3 linked regions of the Struthio camelus genome follow. The protein of the gene in region 1 interacts with the protein of each later gene in a pairwise test. Links are inferred from orthologs where the notes say so. Each region holds a gene or a part of one and is shown in the gene's direction. Other genes may lie near its edges. The genes, in order: FARS2, RCBTB2 and APPL1.

What was found.
Region 2: the proteins of FARS2 (region 1) and RCBTB2 interact in binary tests that used the Homo sapiens proteins (3 or more experiments, as listed by UniProt). The two-hybrid records come from large-scale screens. The link is inferred for Struthio camelus from reciprocal best matches to the Homo sapiens genes FARS2 and RCBTB2.
Region 3: the proteins of FARS2 (region 1) and APPL1 interact in binary tests that used the Homo sapiens proteins (3 or more experiments, as listed by UniProt). The two-hybrid records come from large-scale screens. The link is inferred for Struthio camelus from reciprocal best matches to the Homo sapiens genes FARS2 and APPL1.

Annotation. Positions count from the first base shown.
Region 1 is NC_090943.1:103,668,485-103,676,797, reverse strand, and holds the start of FARS2 (phenylalanine--tRNA ligase, mitochondrial), read left to right. Parts: upstream 1-4,928; 5' UTR 4,929-4,969; coding exon of another isoform or gene 4,970-5,053; coding exon 5,054-5,186; exon of another isoform or gene 5,187-5,346; intron 5,347-5,547; exon of another isoform or gene 5,548-5,682; intron 5,683-6,194; coding exon 6,195-6,277; intron 6,278-8,313. Other genes in the region: LYRM4 (LYR motif-containing protein 4), read right to left, coding at 4,970-5,055. UniProt on the Homo sapiens protein: Is responsible for the charging of tRNA(Phe) with phenylalanine in mitochondrial translation.
Region 2 is NC_090942.1:192,305,487-192,312,978, reverse strand, and holds the start of RCBTB2 (RCC1 and BTB domain-containing protein 2), read left to right. Parts: upstream 1-4,240; 5' UTR 4,241-4,413; intron 4,414-4,698; exon of another isoform or gene 4,699-5,692; 5' UTR 5,693-5,844; intron 5,845-5,949; exon of another isoform or gene 5,950-6,647; intron 6,648-7,071; exon of another isoform or gene 7,072-7,195; intron 7,196-7,321; 5' UTR 7,322-7,473; intron 7,474-7,492.
Region 3 is NC_090955.1:15,492,388-15,500,696, reverse strand, and holds the start of APPL1 (DCC-interacting protein 13-alpha), read left to right. Parts: upstream 1-4,933; 5' UTR 4,934-5,087; coding exon 5,088-5,141; intron 5,142-5,296; exon of another isoform or gene 5,297-5,597; intron 5,598-8,309. UniProt on the Homo sapiens protein: Multifunctional adapter protein that binds to various membrane receptors, nuclear factors and signaling proteins to regulate many processes, such as cell proliferation, immune response, endosomal trafficking and cell metabolism.

The DNA of each region.
Region 1 (8,313 bases):
GTCTTTCTTCCTCCCTACTACACAATATCATGATACTGAGAGCTGACTTACCCAGCTGTGATATGTAAAACCCTTATGTAATTGTTAATTTACCTGGGTGATAAAAGTGACAAAGAACCAGTGACCAGACTCCATATGCCAGTGCCAAAGAGCAAAAGTAAGATTTTCAGTTAAAGTAAACAAGTAGTGTATCTTGGCAGAAGAGAAAGAATCCCATTTGAAAAAGCTTATTTTCTGAATTTTATTTGATACGAATCATGTTGTCAAAAAACTGAGATTATGATGTAAATACTGCTCAGTTTATCCTGTACTTGTACAAAGATCCAACAGCTTTACTGCATACCCTGAATTAAATGCATGTGTGTCTCTTTCCCACAGTTTGTTCCCTCTCCAGTCCAAGGAAAACCCTTGAGATAGAGAATATGTGGAAGCAGATGACCTGTACCTCTATGGCAGCAACTACCTACTCCTGGACACCATTTTTCCTACTGCTATAGCAATCAGGCACCTTCCTTGTAGTTGCTCTCCTTTCCACATGTTCATTTGGCATGGCCAGAAGCCTTTGCAATCCAAGAGCGTAAAAGCCTGAGTCCATGAGGGTGTCTGGTTTTTTTCAAAGAAAGAAAGAAAAAAAAGAAAAAACCGGACCCAAACACATTTATCACAAGCGACTGCTGAGATTTTTAAAAATGAAGATTTTTACATGTTGATTTTATCCATTGTAAAAATTTGATGAAAAAAATTAGTTTCCTTTTTAAAACAATTCATTCAAAAACTACACCTGAAGCTATATGTTAAAACCTCAAGCTTATGTTAAAGCCTTGGCTTACAATAGCCTATTTTTAAATTAAATAACATTTAAGCATCAGACGTGCTGTCAGAGATTTTACAGAATATTAAAACACTGCAAAAGTAAGGAGCAACCAACCAAGAATCACTTGGTGGAATTAAAGTTTGTTGAAGTGCTAAGTACTTTCAGAGAAAGTCGAAACCAAAATAAGACGATCAGCTTGCCCAGATCAACAACTACTTCATTCAAAGCTGGGAAAGCAACTGACGCTGAAAAAACAGTAGAACTTATTTTGCTTGTTTTTGTTCTTAGGTTGGCAGCTATCTGCAAAAGCAGATTTACTGATTGTAAAATCTTAAAGGACATGATTTAGGTGAAGTTGCCTGCATTTAATTAACTAGTTTCCAACGCAAAACATGTTCTGACAAATTGCATTCCCTGTCTCTCCTATATCTATCTCTCCCTGCCCTCCTGTGTTTTGCATAGTTTTATTAACTAGTCAAATAACATTGGCCATTCTAATCAAAACCCCAATTTCCACTAAAATATGATTTATACCAATAAGAAAAAAAATCTATAAAGAAAAATGCTTTATGCTATATATATCATACATCATGTATCACACACATAATATATATCTAGATTATATATAATACATAAATATATTGCTATTTATATTATACCATGCTTACATTTTGAATATAAAAATAACAACTTCTGCCAGTTAACACAAAACATAATGAGTAACTGAAATAAATAAATCACATAAAACCTTGAACACACACACACACACACACACACAAAAAATTGCAGAAGTTCCAACAGAGGGACTTGAAGCTCCTTACGTTGCTCATAACTACAAGAAACTAAAAAATTGAAAAGGAGACCAGCAGGAAGAGCATAATATGATGTTCCCCAGAACTTACTACTTAGCGTTGACGCTTATAGACCAGGGATGGTTGCGGACCAGAGACTCCATAGTAATACTGGTAAGGCAGAACCTCTGGAGCTTATCTAATCAAACTTCCCATTTGAAGTATGTCTATCCTCAACCAGGTCAGGTCAGCCATGGCACTGTCTAACTCCATGCCTTGATAACCTTCAAAGGTGGATGAACTTCTTCAGCCCTGCACCACCCTTCTAGAGAAAAACTTCTTCCGCTGTATTCCAGAGAGTTTTAACCACTGAGCTTCAGTCACGTTAAACAAATAAAACTGCAGAGTTCACACTATTCTTGTTTGCAACCAGATGTTTTAAATCTTGAATTGCAAATTTTTATAAATTCAATTGTTTTCTGTACCAAAAAGAGAGACACAAAATAAATCTATTATTTCACAAATAACATTTGTTATTTGAAAATTACTGCACTAAACCAATTAATTTAGTTGAGACTGTAATTACAATCTCACATTACGAACTGTAACAGGATCTTCTTTTTGTTAATCAAGCAGAAAAAACTCCCCAATATACTTGGAACCACTTTTTTAAGCTTAAAACTTAACATCATCATCCTTTACGTATTGATTTTCCTACAGTACAAATCAGACTTCCATCTTCAGCCCACATGTGTGTGTAACAGGGCAGAAGGGCATGCGTAGTATGGCAGAAAGGCAGACAGGAAATTACTGTCTACTAAATTCTCTCCTGCTGTTAAACTCTGGCCTACACATCTGGGCTTCAGAGCACTCCATAACGTTTACTGCAGGACTCTAGAGATGATCCTGTGTGTTATTATTCTAAAGACTGTTGGAGCTGGACTCAGTAACTTTAAGATATTAACATTATTCTTCACATTTAGGGCAGCAAAAGCTCTGTTGGGCTGGTAGAAGGAAATCTGGTACTAAAAAAACAGATATAGAATATACTAGAAAAGTTACAAAACAAAAATACTTGATTCTAAATCACAATCTATATGTGCCTCTTTAAGAGCAAAATCACCACAATCAAACAGGGAGACAACAAGCAGTAGGTCACACTGCAGACATACACTTACAAACATGCATTGTTTGCACTAATGAAATATTCTGAAATTCAGCCAGTGAAATCATGAATCAGTAAGTTTAATCTTTAATACTCTGCAATTTGCCACAAAGTCGACTCTTTACAAAGTTATATTCGATGATCACATTACAGCAGCCCTGAAGGCAGAGCAGAACTGCTTATCCCAGCATCTAAGAGGAGTGTCCATTTTTGTTATGGGTGTGGCATAAAAACCAAGGTGGACTTGTTGCTGTGGTCCCAACTGATCTCTGCATGTAAGAGCTGCTGACTGCTTCTTGCTAGAAGCTGCTATTGCTTTTAGTGTTTACAGATTTGTATACAAAACAAGAATTTATACAGTTGCTGATTTTACAGCATCTAAGGACAGGCCCATCAAAAACTGAGACCATTCCTTAAGGAAAGGGGAAGTTTGCTCCATGATATGGCATTGAAAAATTGCAGAAATCCAAGGTCAATGCACATCTTATGATTTCTATGCTTTTAGAGTTGTTAGTATTACAGTACTAAAAGAAAAAGAATGGAAAGTTTTACATCACGTTAAGCAGAGAACTCAGCAATGCACCTTGTATCATTGTTGTGTGATGGATAACCCGATCTTTGAGCTGCACGCCAAAATTTCCACACTGCTGAAGGCCCTGGATACATACCTTTTATTTATTTTGGGGAGCTGGCTGAGGGGCCAGGCTCTGGGAATGGTTTACAGAGGAGAGATGCCAAAAGTTTCCCAAGCCATTACACTCCATCAAAAAGGAGCTGGGGCAGAGGGGAGTCCTGTGAGGCTGCTGCCACCAACTGCTGCTGGCTTGTTTCCTCCCACGGCTGTGGGCTCAGCTTCCCCAGCAATTTCCCCTAGTGCAAACACATCGCTGGAAACATGACACGGCCCAGACGGGAGCTACACTCAACTGCCCTCCAAGCCATGTCTCACAGGCCTCAAACCACCCCTGTTACATATAACCATACTCTGCTATCCAGAGTAAGGGCAACCAGGATACTCAGGACAACAAAGTGCAGGGGGAAGCCTTGATGCACACGAACCAGAGAAGGAGCGGGGAGTGAAGTTAGTGTGGAGTCAGTGTGGAGTTAGTCTCAGCTGATGAAGGCCTATTAGCTCTGGCTCAAATTTGGCCTTTCCTCACGAGGCACTTGCTCCCTCATAGGCGCTGTTTGGGGAATACGTATACCCCGAGCGGCGCAGCGCTCAGTGTGGCTTCATGTGTTCAAAGGCTGCTGTGCCCAGCCCAACACTTCTTGCCATCCTTGAGATGGCTCCCCATGGAGCTGGCTCACGTCTCTCTGTCTGTGGGCCAACTACCAGCAGACAAAATAATCTTGCTAGTGCTGCTGGGGAGCAGCCCCAAGTGAACGCAGCAGATATCAAAGCGCGGAGTGGCCCGTGCCCATTGCACACGGGTCTGTATCAACGTAGGCATACCCTTTACCGAAAACCGGGGCATATCTTTCACCAACAACTCTCAGGAGACAGGCGGCCGCGCAGCACTGTGCCCAGCACGGCTGGAGGGTCAAACCCTGCCCACCATGCGCCTTGCTGGGGTTACGCAGGGAGCCTGGCCCCCGCCGGTGCAGCCGCGCTGCCTCGCCTGGGCAAAGAAACCCCGAGGCTGCCACCTGGCCCAGGCCCTCAACAGCCAAAAAAAGGGCAGGATACAAGGGAAATAGGAGCCTTTTCAGCCTGGGTACAATCCCTGCCCTGTGCCCTCCCCCCTCCCCGCGTAAAAGCGGGACCTTTTAGGCCCATAATACGGTGCTTTTGCCCCGGGGCCAGGCACCTCGGCGAGGCCGGCGGCTCCCCGGCAGGGGCGCGGCGGCACCGAGCCTCCCCCGGGCCGGGCCGGGCCGGGGCAGCGGCGGGGGCGGCCTCGGGCCTGCGCGCCCTCCCCCTCCGCCACAAGGCCCCGAGGTCACGGCTCAGCTCCGTCCCCCCCTCCCCTCCAAAAAAAAAAAAAAAAAGGAAACAAAAACTAAGAACCCCCCGCCCCCCCCCAAAACAACAGACACCTCGGCAAAGCCCAGCTTCTGCCCCCGAGTAATACCGGCATTGCCGCCCCCCTCCGCCCTCCCCAAACCCTCACGCGCAGGGGGAAGAGCGGCGGCGGGGCCGCGGCCGCCCCGCGGAGGGGCCGGACCGGACCGGGCCGGGCCGGGCCGGCAGCGCACCTGTAGTTGTAGCCGCTGAAGCGCTGGCTCTCCCGCAGCAGGGCCCGGTAGAGCCGCAGCACCTGGGCTCGGCTGGACGCTGCCATGTTGCCGGCACAAGGCGGGTCCTGCCGCCGAGGCCCCTTTTCCCCGCCCGCGGCCGCGCCGGCCTCCGGAGCCGCCACCCGCGCCCGCCTCTCTGCGCGCCTGGCGGCGGCGGCGGCGGCAGCGCAGGGCGGTGAGTGGCGGCGGGGCAGCGCGGGTGGGCCCGGCCGGGCGGCGCGGTCACCTTGGGGGCGCCGAGAGAAGCCCCGCGGCCTCCGCGCGCGCCGCCGGCGGAGCCGTTGCCCGGGCTCGGCCGGCTGGATGTGGAGGCCGGTAGCGTCCGCTGCGGGCAGGTGCGAGCGGAGAGCCGAGGCCTGGCGGGCGGGCGCGGCCGCGCAGCGCTGCCGGGGTTGGGGGGGGGGGGGGGAGCGGCTGTGCGCTGCGGCTCTGGGGCGCCGCGGTGCCGCCGGGCCGGGGCCTGGGCCAGGGCGGGAGGCAGGGCCTAACGCGGGGCTTCCCTCCGCCTGGCTGGGGCGCGGGCTGGTGGTGCGCCGCCCCCGGGGGCTCCAGCGGCGGGCAAGGGAGACGGACGGCGGCTGCTGGCGTTGGTGCCGCCCGGACCTGCCCCGAGGTGCCAAAGCTGCAGGCGCTTCGGCGTGAATATTCCGGGTTTTCCCGTGGGCCGCGAGGTGCCTGTGCCGTGTTGGGTTGTCCGTATGTCTGTCGCCTTTTTAAAGGGGTTCTCGGCTGAAGTGGGTATTATCAAAGGGGGGGGGGGGGGAAACAAGTAATGGGAGAGGGGAGCCTGTGTGACTGGGCAACGTAAAGGTCAGTGTAAATGTCAGTTGATGCAGGGTCAGGGACTGACCGGGAGACACTTAATATTTGGTCAGTGCTTGCATTTCACTGCATTTCTTCAAAAGTTTCTGTACAAACGCACGTGGCAAACTTTCAGTCACGAAAGGAGCACCGGAAGCTGCAACACCGCAGGTGATGCCCAAATCGTTCCTGCTTTGAGATCCCCGGTTATGTTCAAGACTGTTATCTAAATCTTTCTGCTTGACCTGTATGCCTGTAGTTCAGAAACCATTTAAATGAAGCAGCAAAAACCTCTGAGAGAGGTTAATAAGGATTTCCTGCCTCAGCTGTTTTATTTTCAACAAAAAATCTCCATTTACCATTTTTCTGGCTTTTTCCACAGCTGCACGAGAAGTGGGCACACCACGTTTATCAGTGCCCTCCCCTAAGGCTCCGCATCTGTCGAAGTTTTCAGAAAGTGAATTGGTGTGTTGAATTTTGAGTGAAGTAGCCACGACCCACGAGTGTTAAAACTGGCCTTGAAGAAGGCAGTCCCCAGGCAGGAATCTGTATGCACAATGCCTGTATATTGTACAGTCTGCAGAACGACTGGTTACCTGAGCAATTAAAAAGTTTTACCAGTTTATTGGATAAATTCTCCTCTGCTGTGAGGCTGGGTCCCTTATTCCACTTAAGCGCCTCTTTTATTATTGTTTACACTTGAGACATCCTGATCCTTTTATTGCTGGAAACAGAACATACTTAACATCCTCCTCTGCTGAAAGTTTTGCCACTGCAAATTAAATCTGACTTTGTAACTTACAGGTTTGTTGCTGTAGCTAGTACTGATTGTTAAAACTATCAATAATAGGATTTCTTTATATTCATTACAAAGTGTCTACTTTATCCACAATACGTTTTATATGTAGTATGTGTTTATATATGGTCTACTTCTGTCTCTGGCAAAAGCGTTTCAGTCCTTGCCTCTAACTGAACTGATACTCTATTGTACATGCATGCTTGAGTATTGTTTGTGCCGCTTGTTCATCTGATGCAATTTACAGTATGTTTCTAAAATAGTGCTGTATTTCTGGCTATAAATAATACAGATAAGCATGGAGATATCTTGGACTCATCTTTGCGTGCATGTTTATACGGTCATTGTATTTTAGCAACCCTTCTAGGCTTCTGAAAACTGAGATTTTTTACACACGTAGCAAATTTCTTGGACGTTCTTATTAAAACCTAGACTGGAAATGTTATAGGAAATGTTACATTCTTCTACAAAAATGCAAGCAGCCCAGAGACGATGAGAAGCATCACATTTTTGTGCCTTCCCTTATAAGTCACAAAAGAGCGTATTCTGGGCTGGGTTTTTGCATGCAGGAAACCCAAATGGAGAAAATTAAAAGCAGGCATGCTCTTTAGTGGGCTATGGGACCAAATGTTCCTTGTAGGCCAACTTGTATTGTTATCAGAGGTCACTGTGCAAACAGTGAAGTCTGCCTGATTCCCCACTGCCCATCCTTGCCGTTCTCCATCTTTGCAGCCCTGGGGTGCTTAGTAGGTGTTAAAGCAGAACTCTCGCTTTGGGTCTGCAGGTTTATCATTTTCCCTAAAAGCAGCAGTGGCAATCCTGTATTTTGTTTTGATAATGTGCTTCGGACAGTTTAAAAATACGAATCTCTCATGTACTGAACAAAATCTAGCTTTGAGAGTTTGGTAAAGATACGTAAAGTCATTTTATGGATCACTGCAAAAATTATTCTACGTAGTTTTAGAACAGCCCTCTTTATTATTTTGAGAGCAGGAGTTTTGATTCTGCAATCTTCAGCTCTAGAAGGTGAGAGAATAATGAGAGAGAAAGCAGAGCAAGTTAAGAAAATCTTGTAAACACTATTAGTTTAATACTGGAACAGTTATTATGAATGATTTTAAAATAGCCTCAGGTGCTAATCCTGTTCCTTCCTGAATTTCCCTGAAAATTTTTGTTTGTGTGTGTTGTTTTTTTAATAACCATGTTTTTCTCTGTTAAAAAAAAAAAAAGTCTCATGTTGCATGGAAACCTCATCTGCTTAAAATAAGCAAAAAGCACATGCAGAGTACTAACACACGCAGAGTAAACACACCGAAGAAGCAAAAAGCCTCCTCTTGACTCTCCCTCCCATCTTAATCTTTAGTTGACTGAAGGAAGAACAGTTTTCAAGGATAAACTGGCCTTTTGAGTACAGTTGGATTGGTGATGTTGTCTGGAATGAATAATTATTTTTATGTGTACTATTTTGGTTTTTCTCTTGGAAGCTAGGGATTATGTTCTCAAAAGACCTACTGTTCTGCCATAAATGGGCACCAGTTTTGCTGTTGCCGAAATCTGTGATTTTTAATAGGACAGGGTACACATTGTGTCTGCTCTCATTCTGTTCAGGTGCATCATTGCAAGCCAGCAGAGAATTTCAAGGACAGACGCAACCCAAATGACCACCACTGTGTCCTGTGACACTGGAGCCTCTGTGTTAAGGGAA
Region 2 (7,492 bases), on another chromosome or scaffold:
AGTTGTAATAGCTTCATATAAACCCAGTCCTTAATTTCTTTAACTTCCTCTTGCCTTGCATCTATTGACAGAACTTATCAGCCAACAGTTGCCTCCCACTCCCATTATTTTGCTTCCTCAAAAGTTAAAGTGGGCCTCTAGTGCTAATAACTCTGTAGATGAAAGTCATTTCCTCCAAAGTCATGATCATAACTGAAATGTCATTACCCAAAAGCATAACGCAGGTAATGGGAACCCTGTTATTGAGCTCAGAAGCTGATCTTAGTTTGACATGAAAGGACTCCTAGCTTTCTCACTTCCCTCCTACTGATAGATTCTCTAAGGGGAAACACAACAAAAGGCTTAGTGGGCATCTTTATTTTGCAACTGAGTTTAGCAAACACATCTCTATCTTTGGCAACCCAGCACACAGTAGTTGAGTTTAAATACAGAAATTGTACCTACTGAGTGACAATCTACAAAACCTCATGTTTCTCTAGTAAGTCCACAAATAAGCATATGACAGTCCAAAACTTTTTTGCCATCTAGGAAATATGGAAAGCCTTTCCAACGCTTCAAAAACTTCTGGAAGATCTGAGTGCAAGTTTAGTCTGCTTTTAACTATATTTGACTGAGCTGGATGGGTAACTGCAGGCAGCATTCGAGACGGTATGCTTTGAAGTACTCCAGAGTTGTAGCTGATTTTGAGCATCAGATTATCATGAGTTCAAGATGACGGGGGTGGTGGGGGGGAGCGAGATGGTGGTTCTGGATACTACTGTGGGAGGGCAGTTTGGAAGCGAAAAGAGAAAATATGGAAAGAAAATAGGAGCTACAATTCAGATGCTGCACTCATTCTATTAAATGAAAGTAATTTTGAAAGTAATATCATCACCTCAAATACCCCTAATCTTCACTGAGTCTTTAAAAAAGCCTGTTCCTCTCTCTATTTCCTCCTTTCAGCTTCCTCTGGCCCTCCACAATAATTCCTCCATCCTTCTCCTTGTGGTATCATGATTACACCAAGATGTAGCAGGTTGAGTACTATAAGCCAAGTGCTTGGATGCAAATTCTCTTTCGGCCTGAAGATGTATCTGAACTAAGCCCTTCCTTTTCTCCCCCAAGCTATATAGCCCCACAGAAGAACATAGCTATTACCTGTGCTGCTTCTGCATTTTGTAGTCATGGAAAAGCATAATTTCCAAAAGCACCTGCGATGTATCTGTAACCTCCCATCTAGGCCAGGCTAGCCTACAGCTAGCCTAGCCCCTATGTGACCCTTGGGTGGATGGCTTGAATAGCACACATTCGGTGTGCTATTTAGGTGGACCCTGCCTGGAGAACTTGCATCCCAATATGCAACTGCTGTATTGAACTGGCACTTAAATATCAAAAAAAAATTTTTTTTGAATAGAAGTAACTGAAATCTTGTGGCTTTGGAGTCCTTTGGTGCTTGAACTGTAAGTTAGTTCACTGACTAGCTACTCTATTTACAGTCCCTGCTACATTCTCATTTACTTTCTAATTACATTTTTTTAAGTGTACAAAATAATCCTGCTGAAGTAAAGTAAAATAAACATCTGATTCATCAGCTAATCAGATAATAAAATTAGGTCAAATTCTATCACGTATTATTCCTAAGACCAACTGGAAGAAAATGACATGCACAAATTCAAATGGTAAATAAAATAAGAAAGGATCCAAAGCTTAAATTGCAGACCTCAACAATATATTGGAAAAAAAGGAAAATACTAATAAGAGTGTTGTACGTGAGATGAGAGAGGTAGATATCCCTTTTCACTGAGTGCTGCTTAGTTCTAAATCTGGCTTCAGACATTATGTTTAGGAAAAAAAGAAAAACAAATTGGAGGCAGCCCAAATGAAAGAAAGAAAATGTGACAGCTGCAGAAACTCTGTCATATAAGAAAAACTTGAAACGGCTGGATCACTTTTTGATTTGAAGGCATCAATAAATGGAGACCACCTTCTACTTGCACTGTCAGGGATTTGCGTTCAATTTCTGAATTGAATTTCTGTGGCTTTAATTTCTCCCCAGTGCTGCTTGTTACAGCTCTCTCCGTTCAATTAAAATGCCACTCAGTATCTAATATTTTCTTCTTGTAAGGAGCCTACAAACTGCAACCATCTTTGAACTGGGTTTTTAATAAACTTAACAGATCATCTTTTTGCAGTTTATTCCATTTTCAGCTTCTCTATCAATACATACAATAGCATTACACGTAGTGTCCCACTAGATGTCTCATAACACTAATTACTAGAGGCAAATTATCTCTTAATTACTATTCATCACTCTTCTCTTTATACATTCAACAGTGGCTTTGGTGTTTTTCACTTTTCCATGCCTGGCATCACATTTTCAGTTATGTTGACTGACCTCTATGCTTCAGTAAGATTTTCCAGAAAGCAGTTTCTGTGCTTGTAGATCTACATTTATTGCTTCTAGATTTAAGCACTTCACTGTATTAAAGTGCACTTTGCTTGAATAGATGAAGTACACCACCTGTTTCACAGATTCTAAGCGTGACCTTCAGCCTAACACATAGCACTTCCTTGCATTAAATTGAGCGTTACTTTTTAGAAAAATATCCAATACTCTTTTAAAATGTGTACTGAAGAATCAGTAGCAGCTCACAGGCCAAGATGAAACTTGTTCTAAGGGACAATTACTCTTACTAAAAATATTTGTCTTATTGCTAGCCTGAAAATGAATAGCTTCAACTTCCACTGGGAATTGTTACACCACTGTCTGCAGAATTGAAATTTTCAGGCATATTGTTATGTTTACACACATATGTCTGAGATCCACCAATTTTTTCCCCCGTGGACTGGGTTTATTCAGTCAAGAAAACAGAAAACTGAGAAGGGAACACATTAGCAGAAAACAAATTTATTTGTGTTATACAATGATCATTTTACTTTACACAAAGAGAAAACCAAACTATAAGGCACAATATATTATCCTTATGAGTCAAGTGCCCCAAAATTTACTGTTCTCCTTCCAACGCTTTATACAAATCATTATGGGTATCTTTCAAACGAAGAAAACTTTCTTAGCTAAAAAGACTTTCTCTCAATTATTGTGAAAGAACCAACTGAATGAGCCAATAAATATACGTTTTGCACATTATAATGCATTTGGGGTGCATGCATGGGATACATTTCTTCACTTCCGACTGACAAGCTAAGAAGAGATAGTGACTCCACGGAGCATTACATAGTGCAAGCATTAGGGGAGCACTTTAGGAAGCAGCACCGGTAGTCAGTGCAGAGGTACAGGCACTTCATGCATTATATATTTGAAGAATGGGATGCAAGATAGGCTAAAAAAGCATGTGAAGTATATCATATGAGACTGTCAGACAATATGGCAAGTATACAGAATGTATTGTCTCTATTCCTTTCGTAGCTATAAAGAAAAGGTCCTACTACTTTATGTGCTTTTACAAACCTCATTTTTGGACATAATCTTGTATCTAGGTACATACAATTGTTAAAATAACGCAGTATCCTCATAAGACTGATTCCTACATGAAGACCTGCCCCAGGCGATAAAGGAAGATTGCTTTCAATAGAAAGCTACTTTCTTAGGCACAGGGCAAGCTTTCTTCTGAATAAGGTTCCCACAGCGATAACCTAACAATATAATTCAAGACAACAGCAAAAATCTCCGAATATGTATCACAGCAAGATGACAGGGCATTATCAGGCCCAAGGTAAGAGACATAACCTGACCAAACAGCAAGGTTCCTCAGCTGAATATTAGGAAAATGCTTTTCAAGGGTATCCTGTTTGGGAGGACTTAATTTTAAAGATTAAAGCATATGAGAAAAATACCAATGTCCTCTTCACTTCACTTTCAAAAAAAGCAGATTGCACATCGAAACAGCTCAGCAACATTGGACATTCCCATGGCAATCGTCTTTGAGCACGGGGCTCTCACTACGCAGTTTTGCCACCTGCCTTCAGGCCCAGCCATCAGCTTAGGGCTTGGTGGGAAGTGCTATTAGGCTGCCTCCCTCAGCACTATGCTCCCTATGAGCATGTGTGTCTTCCTGAGGTGGCCGTATCGTCAAAGGAGACGTGCCTCGGTGCAGGGGACACAGGTGCCGTCTCAGCCTCCCCCTGCTTGAACTCGGAGAGAACTGCTCTGCAGCTAGGGCCAAGCCCCGCGGGGCCAGCCGCCTCCAGAGCCCCGTCAGCCGGTGGCCCCCCGTTTTCCACGCTCTTTACGGCAGTAGGTGGATCCCTGGGAGGCTCTAACCCCCCTCCCTCCCTCCCTCTCCCTCTCTCTCTCCCGCCTCCCTCCCTCCCTCCCTTCGCGGTTGAGGAGGCGCCTGAGCGCGGCGGCATCTTCCCTCGCCTCATTGGCGGGAGGAGGAGCCGCCGCCGCCGCCGCCGCCGCCTGCGGGGAAGGTAAGCTGCGAAGGAAGGGGCTCGCCGCCGCAGTCGCCACCTTTTCCCTCCCTCTCCTCCAGGGCGGCGGCGGCGAGAGCCCCGCGCCCCTCTCCGCTGAGGAGAGCGGCGGCAACGCCGCGGCAGAGCCGCGCTCGGAGCCGTCACGCGCGGCTCTAACGGACGTTCCCGCCCCGCGCCGGCCCCACCGAGCCGGGCGGAGGGAGGGAAGGGGGGAGGGGCGCCCTGGGGCGCGCGCGCGCTTCCCGCCTCTGCGCCAGCGGCCGTTGGCCGTGCGCGTGCGCGGGGGGGCGGGGCGGGGCCGTGGCGTCGGCCGGCATTTTGCGTGCGGGGGAGCTGCGGAGCTGTGTGGGGGTTTGGTGTGCTCTTTTCCTCTTGCCCCGGTTTGGGGGCGTGGGGGCTGTCCCTCTCCCCCCGCAGCCTGCCTGTTAGCCGTCCCGCCTCGCGGCTGCCGGTGGGCAGCGCTGGGGGCGGGAGCCGTTGCCCGTTTTGCCTGCGCCAGGCGGGTTTTGCGTTTGCCTCCCCCTGGGGTCCGTTGGCAGGGCAGGGTGCGCGGTGTGTAGGCGCAGTTTCTGCTGCAGGGCGGGTTTGTAACCCGCGGCGCGATTTTAGTGGAGCAAGGGTTAAATTGGAGTAGCGCCGGCGAGCTCTGTCCTCCGGTGCGTAGAGGGAGTATGAAGCGTGCGGTGGGTCAGGCAGGCTTAGCTTGATGCCCAGCTACGGTTTAATGCAGGGAAAGCGACTAGCTGGGAAATTTAAGATTTAAGGATAGATAAAGGATTATCAGTGCTTGAGGGTTTGGGTGGTCGCACAGAGGGAAGTTCTAGTATTGATGGGACAGAAGGCAGGGCACAATGAGCAAAGGGACCTTTGTTCCTACCTTTGTTCCTAGGAGTGGAGTGAGGTGTGTGGGCAGTTACCTTTGTGCATCACTGTAATCCACCTGGGCAACGAACGAGATGGCGGGGAGCGTGCAAGCGGACACAGCTAAGGGAAGCACTGAGAAATCATGGCCCTGCTGAATAGCAGGGAGGAGAGCTAATGTTGTCCAGGCGTGAGAAATAAATATGATGGAGTAGCATTGGATGCTAATGATGCGATGAACTGTAAAGTAGTAGGGAGAAGTTGTGTGGGTAAAAAAAGAATTAGCTTAGCATTGCTTTGAGGAAGTAAAATTCTAAGAGCTTTTAATGCTATCTGCGCTAGACTACCAGAGTTGGATTTGGGTAAAGTTATCACTTACCACAAATTATGTCATGACTGGATTTTCTTTTTTTAGATACAGACAATGGCATCATTTGGGAAGGACATATAACAGTTATATTTACATACAACAACTCTGAGCTTACCAAACAGACGCTGAATTAGTAGACTTTAGACTTGCTTTCAATGAGGAGCGTGAGGAAATTCTGAGAAGAGCTGGTTTAATAAGTGGGTTACATTTTTAATTTGATTAAATAAATAGAAATTAAGTAGAAGGCTAAACAAAAATAAGTTTGAAATTCTTGGTTTTGGAGGGGCAACCTTTGAAAAACTGGGGAGATGAATGAGTGATGTCAGTTGTCCTGGAGTGCCAAGGGCTGTAGAAATGTAATGCAACTCAGTAATGCAACATTTTTACAGCTGAGACTTCTTACCTGTAGGTAGAAGCCCATATCATGGACCAAGGCTCCATTATGCAGAAAAACTGTACAAACTGTACAAAGTGATCAGGGAATGTAGAAAATAAGGCCGGATGTGATTTAGTAACGCTTATAGGCTTTTTTAGGTCTGTTATTAAAATTTTAGAAGATACACCTTATAAATTGTAGCTTTTAGCCAAAGTTAGGCTAGAAAGACCTTCCTTAAACATCTAAGGGTAGGATTATGGGTTAGAGCTGTAGAAACTGTGAATGTTTGTTAACAGCAAGAGTTGACTGAAGTAAAAGATCCATCAGTTAAGATATTATGTAAGGCACAGAATTTGGCTGAATCATATAGCTACAGACTAATAACAATTTAGCTTAGATCTGCTTAGAGGTGGCATAACAAAACTAGTACGTTTGCTTACTGGTTTTATGTTAATGTAATTTAATATTTATGATTACATGTTAAAAGAGCTAGGCTCTTGCCTAGCACGATGTTTTTATGGCATTGAACTGATGTCCATTTTGAGAACGGTTCCTGCTTGCAGGTGCAGTGCAGCTTAACATCTGAAGCTTACACACAATTTATCCTGAACAACCTGATAACCTGTTAGTGTTCCTTAAATTCTTAAGGCTTAAACGTTTCCATATTAAGATTCTATAAATGTGTAAAAATATAATATTCATCAACTTATTTCATATACTTACTCTATTATTATATATTACAGTATTAATTTGCTATGTTGTGTGGTTAATATTTTTAAATAAAGTTCTTCTAAAACCAGATCTTTGGAATACTTTTGTTTCCCTTAAGCTGGTTCCTTGAGCTCTCCTGTTTTATAGCTTATGTCTGAAGGTCAAAATGAAGAAAAAAGAATCAATATAAATTTCAGTTATACCAAATTAATTGCATTATATGGTATATTAAATTTTATCCAATGTTTAAAATAGGAAAGAGCTATTAAACTAAAAATGGAGTAAATGCCACAGTTGTTAATATTTTATTATGTTTACATGTATGTATGGATTACAGGAACAAAACACAAAGTATGTTTGGAATTTGGCTAGCAGTTCAGCGAAGAGAGAGCTTTTCAAGATGATTCTCTGAAAATCTGAGATCAGCCACACTGAAAGCAATGCTTTCCCTCAACAATAAGGTATTAGATTTAGGTGTAGGAATGACACTATTCCCAAAAAACTGTTTAACAAAATGTTTCCTTATGTTGATACACTGAAAGATCTGGAGAAAGTGCTCACAGTATTTTTTTTTTCTTTTACTGCAGAAGGAAACCACTAATTATGTGAAAATGACCCCAACATCCTACCATACTGCTTTTCAGCATTGCGAGTAGTTGCATTCAGCTTCCATCATCTGAAACACTTCATTGCTTTCAAAAGGTGTTTTTGCATCTGTAGGAAGAAATGTAAATATTTTGTAAGTGAAAATCTTTTTG
Region 3 (8,309 bases), on another chromosome or scaffold:
AAAAAAAAAAAAAGCCAACTCTGCCCCCCAAACCCACCAAGAAAATGATGCATCATCTATGCAGAGCTGCTTACAGATTTCTATTTTGGCAAGGTTTCATATAAGCATGATCACTGATGGAGAGACAGTCTCTCGAATCCAAAGTGTGGACTTTAAAAACACAATGAACTTTTAGTGATTTTAATACAAACAGCTGGTTTCCAAATACAGACAACTAAAGTTTCTTTAAAAGCTGGAAGAAGAAAAAGCACTGATACACAAGCCTTTCAGAAAATATTTCTTCCATTTCAATGATTATGAAAGAAATTAATCTCAGCCACATGGTTGAGACTGGGACTACCACACAGACCAAGGTCCAGAGTGGTAACTACCTTCGTAAGTGATCTCTTCAACGAGCTACCAAGAACTATTAAGACAGGCATATGCAGTGTTAAGAGAAATATTTATAAGCGACACTTAATCTCCCCAAAGCTAACCATTAACTAGATCAAATATTTACAATCTATTTTTGGACTTTCTGAGCTTGTGGAAGATGCAGAAAACCTTCAGTAAGGTATTCTGATTTTAACTCCCACTTGGGAACACTCAGCAACTTGCAGGCTTCCCCCTTCCCCCCCCCCCCCCCAAGGGAAAAGAGATTGTGATAGCTCTCAGAAAGAATCTTCACAAAATAGGCCAAAACCCAGATATCTAAGTTTGTTAGACACATGTTGGAAACTAATCAAATAGTGCCATCTGGTGTTTATACTTGCCCAGCCATTAAGTTTGTTCAACAATGAATATTCAGACAGTTGAATAAGAAACTGTGCTACTACTAAAATAATCATATGATATTAATTTGCTCAGTGCTGAATTGATTCACACCCAGGAACAACAATGCAGTAACATATCAACATTCTGTTTTTAAACTGAGTTCTTGGCAGCAACTTATTATAGGAACTGGAAGCACCAATTAATAAGTTCACAAAGTGGACGTGCACATCACACTTTCTAATTTCTGCGGAATTCAGTGAAATTGAAACATCATATTTCTAAGAGACTTTTATAATGTTCATGCAGCTCCACATATCTTGTGGAGACTTCACAAACTGTTAAGAGAAATTATTCTAAAGATAACAAGTCTACTTCATTCCAAAACTATATACATGTAGAAATATATCTACCAGGAAGTCTGGCTGAAGACCAAACTTCCAAAGTTTGCGATACTTCTTTGGAGAGAAGCTTGCTTAGTTATATATAAAATATTTGTCACTAATGCAAAAATAGTCAAACCTTTCTATAAAAAAGTGAAAACAAAAATGTATTTTCATGGGGCAGAAAGGTTACAGTGTTTTAGATCTAAGAAGAACTGACAGTAAAGAAGTAGATTCAGTTTCTAGGAATTTCTACTAAAAGTAGAAATACAGCTTGAGCTTCCATTCAAAAATGACATCCCCTTTTATTGCTCATTTCTAATGGGCCAAGATTTCACTTGCAAGTCATGAATTTATCTAAAGAATTTTAAACAAATAGCTTTGAGTAAATAAATACCACAGCAATACAACAAACATTAGGTTGAAAATCCTGAGTAATCAACAGTCGAAAAAAATCACTGCTCCTTGGATGTACAGATCTGCTCATTTTACAGCACCACATGATTGGTGAGGTAGCTAACTCTAATCTTCCTTTCTGGTTTGGCCCCACTCACAGTTTTTTGCTGAGGGACAGCAGAGTCCATCTGTTGAGTGGCTGGAGCTCTTGTACTTTAGAGAAGTGAAGCCTCTAAGGACTCTATTTATAAATAGAATAGTCAGCTGAAGTGACCACATGAAGAGTTCTTGGTGGCTTCCATCTAAAACCCCACTGGTCACTGTTGCTACCTATTAGCATTGTCACCTATTGCTACTCCACTGCCAAGTCACCTTTCACAATAGCCTGTCCAGTATCTTTGGCTTTTTAGAAATAGGCTAAATGGTGTATATACATCTTTCTTGATCACTTATCACACGAAAAAAAAAATTGCCTTTCATCTCACCTTTCCCACAGCTCCTTCACCCAAGTGCAGCAGTATCTCACTGCCACAGACATTCCACACAGAGCTCCCCTCCTGATACATTTTGAATGTGAATGTTATAGTCAAATGTTATAGTTATATAACATTATAGTCAATGAATGGTATAGTAAAAGCCAGCTTCAAAATTTAGAGGTTTTTTCGTTTGTTTTTTTAAAAGGTAAGAATGCCTCAAAACTGCTAATGTTTCTCATAAATAAATAAAAGCAGTTAGCTATTTCTTGGCTGAGTTAAAAGCTATTTTGACCCAGGAAGATTAAATGAACACAAATAAATTCAAGGTAAGTCCAAGGGTGGCACCAGCAAAAGTTTGAGAAAGCGCATGTAGATGCAGATAAGACTTACCTGATTATCCAGACAGCGACTTTCACCCTCCAGCAGAGGCAAAACGTTCACTCTGTTAGCGGACCCATCTGAGGCCCTCTAAAGAGCCGTTGACTGCTCTTCTCCCTGTTTATACAGGGTCAAGCGTCAGTTACCCGCACTCTTACCGTTTCCTAGCAGTCATTGATACAAAGAAGAAAAAAAGAATCACAGAGACTAACAAATATATATATATATCTATCTCATTGAAAAAGACTGATTAGTGCGTTTAGAGGAATTCATTATCATCCAAACTTGTCTGCTGCTGTCAAACTTGCATCCCAAATAACACCTTCTGATGCCTTCTAACATTTGTAAAAAAGTATATGTAGCACAACAAGACCAGTAAGACATTACAGAATGTTTTATGTAACAGATTTACTTAAAAACCCTGACTAATAATTAAAAGAAGCTGCATTATATTACAGAATTATGAAAAAGATCCCTACTTGCTATTAAAGCCAGTGGCAAATGGACCACTAATTTCAACAGAAACAAGACACGTTTTTATGCTACGTGCCAGCTGAGATACCAAGACACATTTCTACATACTAAAGACATGTTGTCAGTGTTTTTTTTAATGAAACATTTAGTTCTCTGATTTAAGTGCTGTTCTTCTCAACTCACAGCAGCTAAACAAACACATTTTTCTTCTGTCACTTAAAGCTGTAAAAATATAAAGGTAACAAAGAACAACTCTTTTTAAAGTTACTTGCTACCATCTTAGCATTTCCTGCTAAGGAAATGAATCTTATATATTATGTAAAATAGAGAGCATTTCTTACAGAAGACAGCTGTAAAAATTGGTCACAAGTTAACTGATCTCAAAACCAGAAAGTTATGCATATATATATCTCATGAGAAAATACTAGTGTGCCATACAATAGTTATGGATCCAATCATAGCTCAGCAAGTAATATTTTAATGCAGAAGACCAAACAAGAAGATGAAAGACTTAATCTTTAAAACACCTTGTAAGATAACTCTATTATTGCTCTCATGTGACAGGGAAAGAGTATTGACAGTGAAACAGTGTGACTTGCCTCAGGCCACATGAGTCACTAGCTGAGCTGGTAAATGAACTGACTGAACTGAGCTGTAACACAGAATTCCTCACCGCTCCCTAAAAAAAAAGAAATTCTCAAAAAGCTGTATTTGTTTACAATTTAATACCAGCTTTTTTCTTCATTTGCTTTTAAAAGCAAAATGTAATCTTATACAAACATAAAATAAGGTCTTCATAATAAGACTGTACAATAGTTAATCATTTGCTCCACCGGCTAATTTAGCCTACTTTCTAATCTGGTTGTGTATTAAAAATATAAACTGCTTAACCTGCAAGAATAATTTAAAATACAGTAACTAGGATCAAAATGTCCTGGTCTCAGAGCTGTAGAAAGGGCAATTTAAGAACATGCTATTTTTAAAACAGTGCACAATGACCTGGTTCAATTCTAATAAGCCCTCAGAGCAGCCTCAGCCACTTAGAATTGGCCACCAATCTGTAGCAGCAAGTTCAGCCAGCCAAAGAAACCAGAAAGCCCATTAGGACTGATTACACCCTCCTGAAGGGGAAAGACCACACTCTGCTCTATAAAGAGTATTTTTTCCATTCAAGACCCATTCAGGAACAGCAAGTCCTCAGCTGAAACCGTGACTTTGTAACAAAAAATACAAAGTATTTATGGATAGAAAGAAATCCCTTCCTGCTAGAAGTCCTGAATGATGATGGAAGGAGACAAGAGACAGATAAAAGGGGACTTCTCAAAAGGGGTGTTCCTGGTGCTCAGGAGAGTGCTTCTACCACAACAGGGCCACAATAGCATTATTCCCACTGCACTTCTGCCCCCAAAATGATCTCTTTTTTTTCGGGGGTGGGGTAGGGGGTAAGACAATAACAGAGTAAAAAAAGACAAAATCCCACTAGTTACAGTGAGGCTAGAAGAACATACTGAATTAACGCACAACGCCTGTAACTCCAAACTCAGAAGAAAAAAAAAAAAAAAAACAGCGTTTTCCCAGCAACTTTGCCTGACAACCATCTCCGTCAGGCCCGCAGAGCTCGACGCCTCAGCGTGGAAACAGCCCTGCGTCAGTGCTTCTGACTCACCTCCCCGGACTCGGGGCAGCCCACACGCACCGGCTGACAGGGCGCCCTCCCGAGGAGCGAGAACAGCTCTTCCCCCTCGCCCACTTATACTGACGGGGGAAGGAGGGGATGCTAACGAGGGGGGGGGGGAGGGGGAGGGGAGCAGCTTACGGCAGGGGCGCGGCGAGCACTGACGCCCAGAGCCGCGGCGCGACCGTTTAACGGCCCGCGCGCGCCCCTCCCCCGCCCCGCAGCGAAAGGGCGGGATGAGGGAACAGACCCTCGCGCCCACGCACGGGCGCGGCGCGGCCCGACGTGCCTCACACCGCCCACGTGCCCCCCCAACACCTACAGACAAACTGACGCAGCCGCGAACCAATAAGGAGTTGGACAGGCTGAGGCGAAGGAACCAATAGGAAGAACAGAACCGGAAGGGGGGGCGGGCGGAGAAGAGCAGGCGGGACATCCGGCGCGAGGCGGCGGCGCCCGTGTTGTGAGTGGAGGGAGGGGGGAGGGGCCCAGTCAGCTGGGTGCGCTGTGGGGTGCGGGAGCTGCAGCGGCGCAGAGTCCACCCCGGCGGCCGCCATGCCCGGCATCGACAAGCTCCCCATCGAGGAGACGCTGGAAGACAGCCCCCAGGTGAGAGGGGCCGCGACGCAGCTGGCTGGGCGGAGGTTAGGCCGGGCCTCGCGCGGGGGCACTGGGTCCTGCGCCACCCCCTTCCCCCTCCCCTTCCCCCGCTCCCTCAGGGGCTCGGGGAGACGTTGGCGGCCGTTGGGAGAGAGAAGCCCGACCTGGGAGCGGCGCAGCGACGCTGCTTGCGGGGCCGGTTGCCTTCCTGTTCTCCTCGCCTCTGGTGCGGGAGGGCTTCGGCCGTGGGCTGGTCGGCCTGGGGCCGGGAGTCACGGCTCCTGGGCTGTCAACTCCGGCAGTGCCCCGGCGAGGTGTCGCTGCGGCGCCTTCTTCCCGCTTGCATCACCGCATCGCCTCAGGTGTCCTGCGGGTTCATTAGCTGCTTACAAAGTAGCGAGCTTAATGACGATTTTCTAGAGATACTGTGCTGCATATGCAAGTGCTTTTGCCTCGGGCGTCACTGTGGTAGCTTGTCCCTCCCTTCCCCCAGCGCCAGATTTACATTCATGATTTATTTTGGAAACCTCGTGTTGAGAAAACCTTCTTTACTGGATCCTTTACTTCTCAAGAGGAGTTTTGTTATGTGTGTATAGTTTACTGAAAAGACAAAAGGTTTACTAGATAAATATGAAATGCAGTTGCTGAATGATATCGTGATGCTTGTGAGAAGATGGGAAATGCATGGTGCTGAGAGACCTTTAATTGCTGTTTTCTTCACTTCCATTTCTGCTGCTTGAACTTTGTCAGTGATGCCATATATTACGTTACTATTTTTTACTATTATTAAGCAGGAAATGCTTTATTCTGTTGTACTGGTTTCTGTTGTTGGCAGCAACAAGTACTTTGCGCACTCTTCCTAGGCATGAATGAAAGTTAGTTTATAATATAGTTTCTCATATGTCAACGGTTAGAATTAGCATCATTGTTTTGCTGCGTTGTCTATGTAGATGAGCAAGATTTCTTATATTGTAATAGCATGTTCATTGATACTTTTGATTCCTCAGCTGTAGAAGAGGAATCTACAGAATGGCAGAAGAGAAACTGCCATTTGCTTAATATGAAATATTTACCCCTAGAATGACAACCATTTTAGCAAATCCACATCAAGTGGAGGGACTGCTTAGAAAAGACAACAGAAGATCATGTCGCGAATGCATCATTGCATTCGAACAGAGTGTGCCCCGTGTAACTCTAATGCCAGATGTCATACTGAGTTTCAGATGAGAGCTAACCTGTAGTATAGTCTCTGGCCCATCTGACTGAAATAAGGAAAAAAATCTGAATGCACTATAGTAATACTAATTTAAGAGAATTACCCATTGAAGATCTGTTCTCAGTGTATGGAAATCGGAACTGTTTTTACTTATAGGAAACGTTTTGAATACTGAATTTGTCTTACACATGACAAGTAGGATGAAGCGTTTTCTTCAAGCCCTTTAGACTGGGACATCGTTAGGGAAGCATATGAGAGAAGGTTACTTATTGGAACATGATTGTAAATTCTTTTATTGCCTGTCTAGAATCTTTTCATTTGAGGTTATCTGTGATAAAAACTGATTAGCAAAGCCTAACTCAGCCCAGTGCTTACTTGTTGATGTGCAAGATTTGCTTATATCTTCTCCTGTTTTAAGAACAAAATTTTACATCTTTCAGCCAACCTAATATTTCAGGTGAATTCTGACTGATCACCTATTAGAAAACCATGGCGGCTTAGTTGCTTTGTTTCATTACATCAGTTCATTTCTGTTACTTTGAAATCAGCATGGTTAAAGACACTTTAGTTTTGTTTTACTTAATCACTGTCAGGTTTTACTCTTCTGCTTCTGGTAGTGGATAGTGTCTGATGCCATAAATGGCAACAAGTGATCCTTGAGGAAAGAGGAAACCCTGTTCCCTTCAGGAGTTTTCATGATGCTCTGATTATGATGAAGTGTTCATAATGTTTTGCTGTAATATTGAAGGAGATCATCAACCTAGACAATTGTTTTGTGGTGAATTGTGGACTGGAATTGTGCACTTTTAGACATGTTTGAGACTGTGATTTTATTTTAAATAAATATCAAATCAAACTTGTTCTGCATTTGAAGGAAAGAAGTGTTTTTCTAAAATGGCAATGCCATTTACTTTGTCTTGATGCAAGATAAAAATCTAACCGCTCTGGCTTTGGACATAAACCAAATGCCAAGTTTACATTGTTTTTGCTAAGCGAAGGACTTTGATTCAAATATCAATTAACTTAGTGCATATATTACACACATGTTCTCTGTCTCTGTATGTGTGTGTATATATATGTATATATATAGAAGTATTTAGAGAGAGTTTCTGCTCAGACTTGATTCCATTTGCAAACCACTACACAATGAAAGAGCTAAGAGACACGACAGCACAGGCTCTGCCTCACGTCACTTGCAGTACAATATGTATGATGGTATCGAATGCTTAACGATTCACTGGCTTCTCACTAGATCATTTCTTTGTGTAGCTTATCTCCGGTAGCTTCTAGTGTACCTGCTCTCATATATGACATGAAAGAGTCTCAAATAATATACACAATTTCTCAAGTTTTTGCTAGAAACAAGAGTAAACAATTCCTCTGACTTTTAAGCTAAGCAAAGGTCTGTCATTACTTGTTTCCAATTTCAGATTATTTTTCTTTCCATCAATATGACATAGGGTCAGTCTGAAGTCTGAGAATCAATAGCTGATTATTTTACGATAAAACATAGAAAGTACTTTCTTCTGCAGTGTTCTGTTTTAAAAAGTAAAGATCATCCAGAAACCTAGCATGATATTCCTTTCAAATTGCAAGTTGCCAGTATTAATGTTCAGGTTTAAAGGTCAGGAGTATGCTATTTGGAGGTTATGGTACTATATAATTTCTTCTTTTGCATTCTTTCATGTCTGTCTGCTTCACTGGGAGAGTCACAGCTATTACAGTGATGCAACATATTGACACGTCTGGCAAACATTTGAGTTCATCTCCAGCTCTTGCCTCTTGCACCCATCCTCCACACCTTTTTCTACTTATTTTATAAACTAGAACCATCACTGAAGTGATTTATTTTGTTCATGATGCTATTTTTTTTAAGGTATCTTGTAAGCATTATGTGATATCATATTTGTGAGACAACCGGTCATCTAATCTAAGTTAAATAAAAGGCTTTCATGTCAAGC